Oryzias latipes: one gene and its partner. The protein of the gene in region 1 binds, or shares a complex with, the protein of each later gene. Links are inferred from orthologs where the notes say so. Each region holds a gene or a part of one and is shown on either strand. Other genes may lie near its edges.

What was found. The genes of interacting proteins can lie anywhere in the genome.
Region 2: the proteins of serine/threonine-protein kinase 3 (region 1) and rassf5 are in contact, whole or in part, in a crystal structure (PDB 4LGD), measured with the Homo sapiens proteins. The link is inferred for Oryzias latipes from reciprocal best matches to the Homo sapiens genes STK3 and RASSF5. Residues at the interface, in NP_006272.2 of Homo sapiens: Phe437, Phe439, Leu440, Leu445, Leu448, Gln449, Arg451, Leu452, Leu455, Asp456, Met458, Met459, Glu462, Ile463, Leu466, Arg467, Tyr470, Lys473, Arg474, Pro476, Ile477, Leu478, Ala480, Met481, Lys484, Gln488; in NP_872604.1 of Homo sapiens: Trp369, Asp370, Ala371, Phe372, Ile374, Leu377, Gln378, Phe380, Leu381, Leu384, Glu385, Glu387, Glu388, Lys391, Ile392, Val395, Gln396, Lys398, Tyr399, Phe402, Arg403, Lys405, Leu406, Ala409, Leu410, Ser413.

Annotation. Positions count from the first base shown.
Region 1 is NC_019869.2:24,049,725-24,054,234, reverse strand, and holds the start of serine/threonine-protein kinase 3, read left to right. Parts: upstream 1-1,535; 5' UTR 1,536-1,695; coding exon 1,696-1,721; intron 1,722-2,943; coding exon 2,944-3,024; intron 3,025-3,148; coding exon 3,149-3,277; intron 3,278-3,452; coding exon 3,453-3,567; intron 3,568-3,804; coding exon 3,805-3,969; intron 3,970-4,491; coding exon 4,492-4,510. UniProt on the Homo sapiens protein: Stress-activated, pro-apoptotic kinase which, following caspase-cleavage, enters the nucleus and induces chromatin condensation followed by internucleosomal DNA fragmentation.
Region 2 is NC_019863.2:28,012,696-28,015,974, forward strand, and holds the end of rassf5 (ras association domain-containing protein 5), read right to left. Parts: coding exon 2,968-3,279; intron 2,608-2,967; coding exon 2,492-2,607; intron 2,411-2,491; coding exon 2,267-2,410; 3' UTR 542-2,266; downstream 1-541. UniProt on the Homo sapiens protein: Potential tumor suppressor. Seems to be involved in lymphocyte adhesion by linking RAP1A activation upon T-cell receptor or chemokine stimulation to integrin activation.

The sequences.
Region 1 (4,510 bases):
ATCACAGCCCTTTCCCACTTTTTCTGCCGGCTGGAGAACTTGAAGACACAGAGTATGCTGGTCCCAGGATGCTGGGATTTAGGAAAAGATACAACATCAGACCGAAGAAGTTAAAGGCTCTCACAACTGTGAGCAGAAAGTGAAAGTTTCAAAATTTAAAAGCGCATCTTTTAATAAAAACACAAACATTCAACATCGTTTCAGCACTTAAAACCATCGATTTCTCGTTAAATCAAAGGAAAAACAGCACTTACGTCCAACCAGGAAGACGGCAGTCATGACAGTAAAAGAAGGGGGGCGGGGGCGAGAAATTGGAACAAATCCAGCTCTCTGATTGGACCCCCAAAGTTTCAGAGTTGAAATTGGAACGAATCAGGCCATTTGATTGGTTGAGAAGTTGGAACATTTGGAACATGTAATGAAAACATGATGAGTTTGAACCAAAAATACGTCAGCTGCCCTGGACACGGCATCTCTGGTGCAGCAGTCGCGGTCCACATAGATCAGCTGGGGGGAGGAATCTTGGTGAATTGACACGGCCTCATAAGCACAGTCGCCATCCTAAACAGACCCTCGTGTTGTAGCCATAAACCGTGAGCAGTCAGAAAGGCAATGGAAGAACGGGCATAGGTGGAGGTGATAGAAATTGCTCCCTCTCATTGCTTCAAGCCAGGAACGACTCACAGTGAGTTAGTTAGTGAATCCTTCTTCCATCAGCAAGAGCACTAAAGATGAAAGGGGGCTGGGTCTTTTAGCATGACAACGATCCCAAACACACTGCCCGGATAAAAAAGGAGTAGCTTCTTAACAGCAGTTCAAGGTCCTGGTTTGGCCTAGCCTGTCAGATCGCAACCCCCATAGAAAATCTTTAAAGGGGAATGGGCTAAAATACCAACAACAGTTTGTGAAACCCTTGTGAAGACTTACAGAAAACGTTTGACTGCTGTCATTACCAAAAGAGGGTATGTAACAAAGCATTGAGTTGAACTTTCCTTAATTGTTTTTTCTCATTTAGTCTCTCATAGTTGAGGTATCCCTGTGATGAAAGTTACAGGTCTTTCTAATCTTTTTAAGTGGGAAAACTTGCACAAGTGGTGGCTGACTTTTTTGCCCCACTGTATCGGAATAAATTGATATAATATAGGCCCTTTTATGGGAAAGAAATGTCTAAATGTGGTGAAACTGAGACATAATTTTCCTGAGGTTAATTTTTACATTCGGCGCCCCATACCCTTTAAATGAATCCCAATAAAATCTAAAATTAGTACATACTATTCCTCGGACATAAATCAATTCTTTGTTTCCAAAATAATGCCAGTGTAACGTGAAAACATTTATATAACTTTAAAATTACATCTTTAAAAATTAAACAAAAAATTACAGTGCAATTTGAGTTTGTTGTTGAAGTTGTTGTTTTTTTGCTGTCATTTCTTTCATAAAAAACACAGGCCACGTTTTCCCGACTTTGTAGGTAACCCTTGAAGCCGCGAGGTGGCGGTAATGCGTTAGATCTTTTGTGCATTGCCCTCACTAGATTCCACGAAGAAGATGAAGCGCCCATCTCAGCTGGCCCTCTGCTAGTTTCTGACAACAACGCGTCTTGTCTGCCGACAATGTTCACACGTTCGTTCCATAGTGACAAAACGGCAATCTTTTTTAAAAGCGCTCCTTAAATTTACGTTTTCGAGTTGATTCATGATGGAGCCAACCGCGCCTAAAAGGTTTGTAAAGATTCCAATTGTTCAAACTTTAGCATAATCGGATGCTAGCTGAGCCCCTACTAGCTAATGCTAAGCTAACTCATTTAGTCGTTAAACTCCAGTGGTTTTGTTTGAAACTTTCTATTTACATGGATATAGGCCCTACTATTCTGTACTTCCTCACTTCAAAATTGACGTTGAAATTTCGAAACGGTGACACATTTTTAATCACAATTTTAAGGAACAACAAAAAAGTGTACATTTTATAAAACGTCTTGCCTTTTGTCCCTACAGGCAAATTTAATGTATTTAAAACGTGCGCGTACAGCAATTAAAATAACGAAAACAGTAGCAAATTTTATTTACAAAATGTAATTTAATTTATTGCGTTCTTCAAAACCAGTTAAGTATTATTTTGTTATGCAATTACATCATAAGCATATAATGTACTTTTCTGTTTGGCATTATATTTTAATTTTAAATACATTTGAAACTTTAACATGTTCATAACCTAATATTTATAGAAATATTTTCTATCTGCTGTTTTTATTAGAGCTATAGTAACAAGGTAATTTCCAATTTTTGTATCAATAAAGTTTAATTCAGTTGTATTTTGTTGTATCATATACAGTACAATACATAAATCAGACTTTGCACACACAATTGGCTTTTTTATTTGGTTGCTTTGTTGGTTTTCCTCATTTTATTGAATTTTATATTTGAAATTAAATGTGAATTTTACTAATACAGTATCATTGTGTTGACAAAATAAGTTAGGTTTTAATACTTTTTATGGTTGACAGTAATCCTGAGTGAGTGAAACTACATCTTCTTAAAACCTTTTCACATGACGAGCAAAAACCCACAGGGCCTTAATCAAGTAACATGAAGTCACTTCCTGGTCATTTTTGAAAGCCGTTTCATTGGAGGATTTCTAGTTGTGCTGTTTTTAAGCCTGTTATTGAAAAACTAAGAAAACACTTCAAGTCTTAACTATTGTGTTGAAATCCATACTGATAGCAATAAACAATTAACAAATCTGTCTTTTTTGGTAGACATTTTATTTGTTTCTTGCTCTCTGTTAAATATGGTAATCAAAGCAAAATTAATTAAAACGTATTTATATTAATTGAGTAAATAAATCTCATATTGTTCCCTCTGCATTACCTAAAACTATCTGGGCTATTTATTATTTATATTGTCTATTGATGTCAATAATAAGATGACTTTCTTTAAACTGCAGCAAGCTGAAAAAGCTGAGCGAGGACAGCTTGACAAAACAGCCAGAGGAAGTGTTTGATGTATTAGAAAAACTTGGTGAAGGGTAAGAACTTTGATTCCTTTTTTCTTTTCATCCTGTACTTTCCTTTTTTACAGTTGATTGTTGTGTTATACATTGGTTTTGCGCACCCTGGTGTGGTGTGTGACTAGCTTTGGTGTGTGCTTAGTTCCTATGGCAGTGTCTTTAAAGCCATTCATAAAGAGTCAGGACAGGTTGTGGCCATCAAGCAGGTTCCAGTGGAGTCAGATCTACAGGAAATCATCAAAGAGATCTCCATCATGCAGCAGTGTGACAGGTGAGAATTCCAGATGTCTCTGCAAATGCTTATCCGTGTCATGTGGAGTACATTAGATGATCAAAACTATCCAAAGAATTAGTCAAACTCAAGCTCCTCTGCACTCTGATGTTTGCAGGAATACTTCCCTTTTTTTGAGGTTTAAATACAAACTTTGCTCTGAACCTCTTTCCAGCCCTTATGTAGTGAAATACTATGGCAGCTACTTCAAAAACACAGACCTTTGGATTGTCATGGAGTACTGCGGAGCTGGATCCGTTTCTGACATAATCAGACTCCGCAACAAGACGGTGAGCCTTTTAAGTTTATGGTTAGAATGTGTTGTAAGATTGATCTGTTAGATTTCTTCCCTACTTGAAAAGAAACACTTAAAAGAAGCAGAAATAATCCAATTTTGACTACAGTTAGTCTATTTGGGCTGAAGAAATAATGTATTTATTTATGACTACCCTGATCTTTTATTAACACCAAGGTTTATCTCGCCCTGCCCTTTTTTGTTTTGTTTTTGCTTTGCTTTCATGGTCCAGCTGACAGAAGATGAGATTGCCACCATCCTTAAATCAACCCTGAAGGGTCTTGAATACCTTCACTTCATGAGGAAGATTCATCGTGACATCAAGGCTGGAAACATCCTTCTCAACACTGAGGGTCACGCGAAACTGGCAGATTTTGGAGTAGCAGGACAGTTGACGGTAAACAAGAAGAAATGATCCACTTATGTTTATTTGATTTGTGTAACTTGGTCTGGAATTTTTTTTTTTGATCCACACAAATCATACTTAGATCTATTTTAAACATGCTCCCAATAACGATAAAACTGTTTTCAGCCAGCCAAAATCCAAAAACCTGTGTCATTTCCTAGGACACAGGAAATTCACCTCTGAGTTGCAGCGTGGAGCAACGCCCCCATTCCCCATCACCCATATCTGAGAGCTGTTTGTACTCTCCCTTTTGCTTACACCTCCTCACACCCCTAACCTAACATTATCGCTGCAACAAAAATAGCGAGCAATATTGGAACAATCCAACCGGACCAGTTTTGATCTAGATGCCAGCTCAGACGAGGAATACGAAGACGTTCGTGGATGTAGTCGTCTACAAGTGGATGCATCAGAATTAAGCAGAGCAGGAAAAAAGCTAAAAGAAAAACCCACCCTTTTCATCAGAGCATGACTTTAAAGCCAAATGATGTTCTTGTTTACTTACTACTGAAGGATACCATGGCAAAGAGAA
Region 2 (3,279 bases), on another chromosome or scaffold:
ACACAATGATGAGACAACTAGCTCAACCAAATCCCCAAAAGTCATGTCTAAACAGGACAATCTGTTCCTTTTGATGACACAGAGTGATGCAAAGTTGCCCCTCTTGTGTTTCATTCCCGATTACATTTGAAGGTTTAAAGTCCCAGTTATTTTAAAATCATTCCCATGGCATCGTGCTGTTATAGCGTTTTTAGCCAAAATAAAAAAAAAGTCACATTTTCTAGGTAATGGAGCCAGATTCCAGCTCGGATGAGGATAACAAAGACGTCCCTGGATCTAGTGGAAGCATCAGAATGGAGCAGAGCAGGGAGCTTGTGCCCCCCCCTCCCCCCAATCCCATCATATTTTGTACATCACAAATGAGCTCTTTTCCAAGCTGCTTTTTTTCATCTGCTCCTGATTCAAAACAATTAGAAGTAATACTCAGAAATACAGTTTGGAGCTTAATTTTCTTTATAAAATTCCTCCATCCATGTTAAAAACACCAAAAACTAGATTTTTATCATAGTGCAGACTTTATGGTAAAAAAAACAGCAAATAGTTATTTTCAATAAAGATTTATTCTTTAATTTCATTTCAATATTTTGTACATATCTACTTATATGTATATACATTTTTTTAAAAGAAACATAAAAAAGGCAACAAAAAGTCTTTCCATTATATAATGTCCTTGGATGGTTGTGAACCGTGAAATAAATAAACACATCCACACACTCGCACGCGTCCACAGAGGACTCTTTGGACAGATGAGAAGGAGCCTGGAGGAAAAACAAAATATGCAAACAGCACCACCCAAAAAAAAAAAAAAAGATTTGCACACATGCAAAAAGCACTCATACATGAGCCCAGGAGGCACACCTGTGTGCAGAAACACCTCTTCTACGCACACACAGGGGCGAAGGAAACAAAAGGCACTGCCAGTGGGAGAAAGCTGGGGGGCTTTGGGGGGAGGCAAGAGTCAAACATGTACGTATGGATGACGGGCCTCTTTTATCTCAACTCTAGAAGATACGAGACGCCTTAACATGACGATGAGCACGTCAAACAAACCTTCACCTGCCTGTGAAATGATAGGATAAAAGACAATTTGGGGCTAAATACACACATTCATTCTAAATCCTTTCACCGTCCTCATTACTATGGATGAGCATGTGCACACACACAGACACACACCCACACACACACACACACACACACACACACACACACTCACACTCCAGAGCCAGCAGGAATGATACCAAAAATATTATTCATAAAAGCAGAGCTAAACCACGTCACTCTTGTTTCCAGTGTATACATATGCATAACAAATATCATTGGTACATGATAGCCAATATCACACGTTTTATATATGGTTCTTTCTATGGGGAAGAAGGCAGGAGGATAAAATGACGCATCAAAGCATGCGCAGCCCCCCCAGGGGTGAGACCTGCGTCCATCTGTGCAAAACTGAAGCTGGTACACCACCTTACATGTCCCTTTGAAGCCCCTTCCTCTGAGCTTTGGTGTCCTTCCACATTCACACGTGACCCACAGTGACAGTGTTTGCTGAGTAAAGGTCCTGGGCTGCCTCTCGTGTCCGGCGCAGGTGGAGTTCATGTAAGGCTAATTTAGGGGAATAACGTCACAGTTGTCATCGCTTTAGAATCTGCAGGTGAGAGCAGGTGTAAATGGCATCTTCTCACATTTAGGCGGGCATAAAGGAATAAACGAGCATGCAATAAAAAGAAGGTGGTGCGAGGAGGAGGTGAGGGCCATCTTTCCTCCTCTCAGCTAAAGACATGCTCCCTGAGAAAAATCAGAGAATGAAAATAAACCTCTTTCCTTAAAAAGCAGGGAAAAAAAAGCGTGGCAGTCCCTCCACTCCTGCAAACCGTAGGAAAAAAAGAAAAAGAAAGCATGCCTTCAGATTTAACTATGTGCAGGGTAGATGAGTGGAGACTCATGCATAAGTAACACTTGCAGCAGCAGCAGCGGTAACGGTAGCGAAGAGGAGGGCTTCAAAAACAACAGCACAGCTTCACATCAGTATGAAGCTAAACTGCAGTCCAGGTCTTCCCGGTTTGTGTCCTTGGCAATAGAAACACTACGCGCCCACAGGCGCTCCTCAGGGAGCCGGCCTGTGGACGTTTAAGGGAGCGCGTGTCAATCCTGAGAAAGGAGAAGGATCAGTGTGGTCTGTCTGTCTGAGTGGAGCCTCAACAGGGAGAAGTTTGAAGGTCTGAGGAACCAGTCTCTCTCTGGGTTGAAAAGGTGGCAGGTGGGGTCAGGGGTCATGTTGTTGTAGGGCCTGCTGTAATTTCTCTCGGTAGAGAGTGTATTTCTGCTCCACGGCTCTTATGCGCTCCGACTCTTCTTTCCCAAGGATGATCAAGAAGTTTTGAAGCTCGGGGATGGAGAAGGCGTGCCACTGTGGGACGAAAACAGACGAAAGGCGTCCATGAAACGATCCCGAATGCGTGCTTCTCTGCCTCCCCGCCCGCTCACTCACCTCCACTTCTTCAGTCTCGTTTTCCTTAAAGACGAAGCTGAGCTGCTCCGTGTCTGGCCCTGCGATCAGCCTCAGAGGAAGAGGTCGCTCGGTCAGCGGAAGCTTCTGGAACAGATCTGCACAGAGGAGAGAGAAACGCTGGTGAAAAGCTGGACGGACCAGGTTTATATCACAGAAAACACTTTCAAGTTAACATATTTTCATTAAAAAAATGTCAAATCAAATACACACGAAGAGCGAAGAGTCTCCCTGAAGATGTTTTTATTCATGATCGGCAAATAATCTGGATTTCAAATAGACAGAAAATTATAGGAAAGATAAGAACATAACATGGAATCTGTCTAAAGTCTAAATTTGAGTGAAGGATTTTCTTTTTTGTTCTTATTCTTTACTGTCTAAAACATCTTTTTCTCATGTTTTAACAACCATTGCATGACCCTCGTGTGTTTAGCAGGGACAGAGGCTGGGGGGCTCACCCTGTCCATTGCGGTGCGTCTGCTTGTACAAAGCAAACTTGCGGGGGTTGTCCTTCACCTCGAACTTCTTCAGCAGGCCCTTGATGACCTCTTCGGTCGTGTTCAGAGAGCTGATGTGGAGATGTGTTATATAGTTCTGAGGCAAATAAAAAGAAGTTCTCTTTTCCGTGGGCCCACAGTCCGTTTCTTCCTGCTCCTCTGACGGAACCAGGCTGTGGCTGAACCCCCCCTCTGAGCCCGCCTTCTCCACAGCTTGGACCGTGACGGGTCGGCTGAGCCGCAGATGGACCTGAACGAAACCGGTGTAGGAGC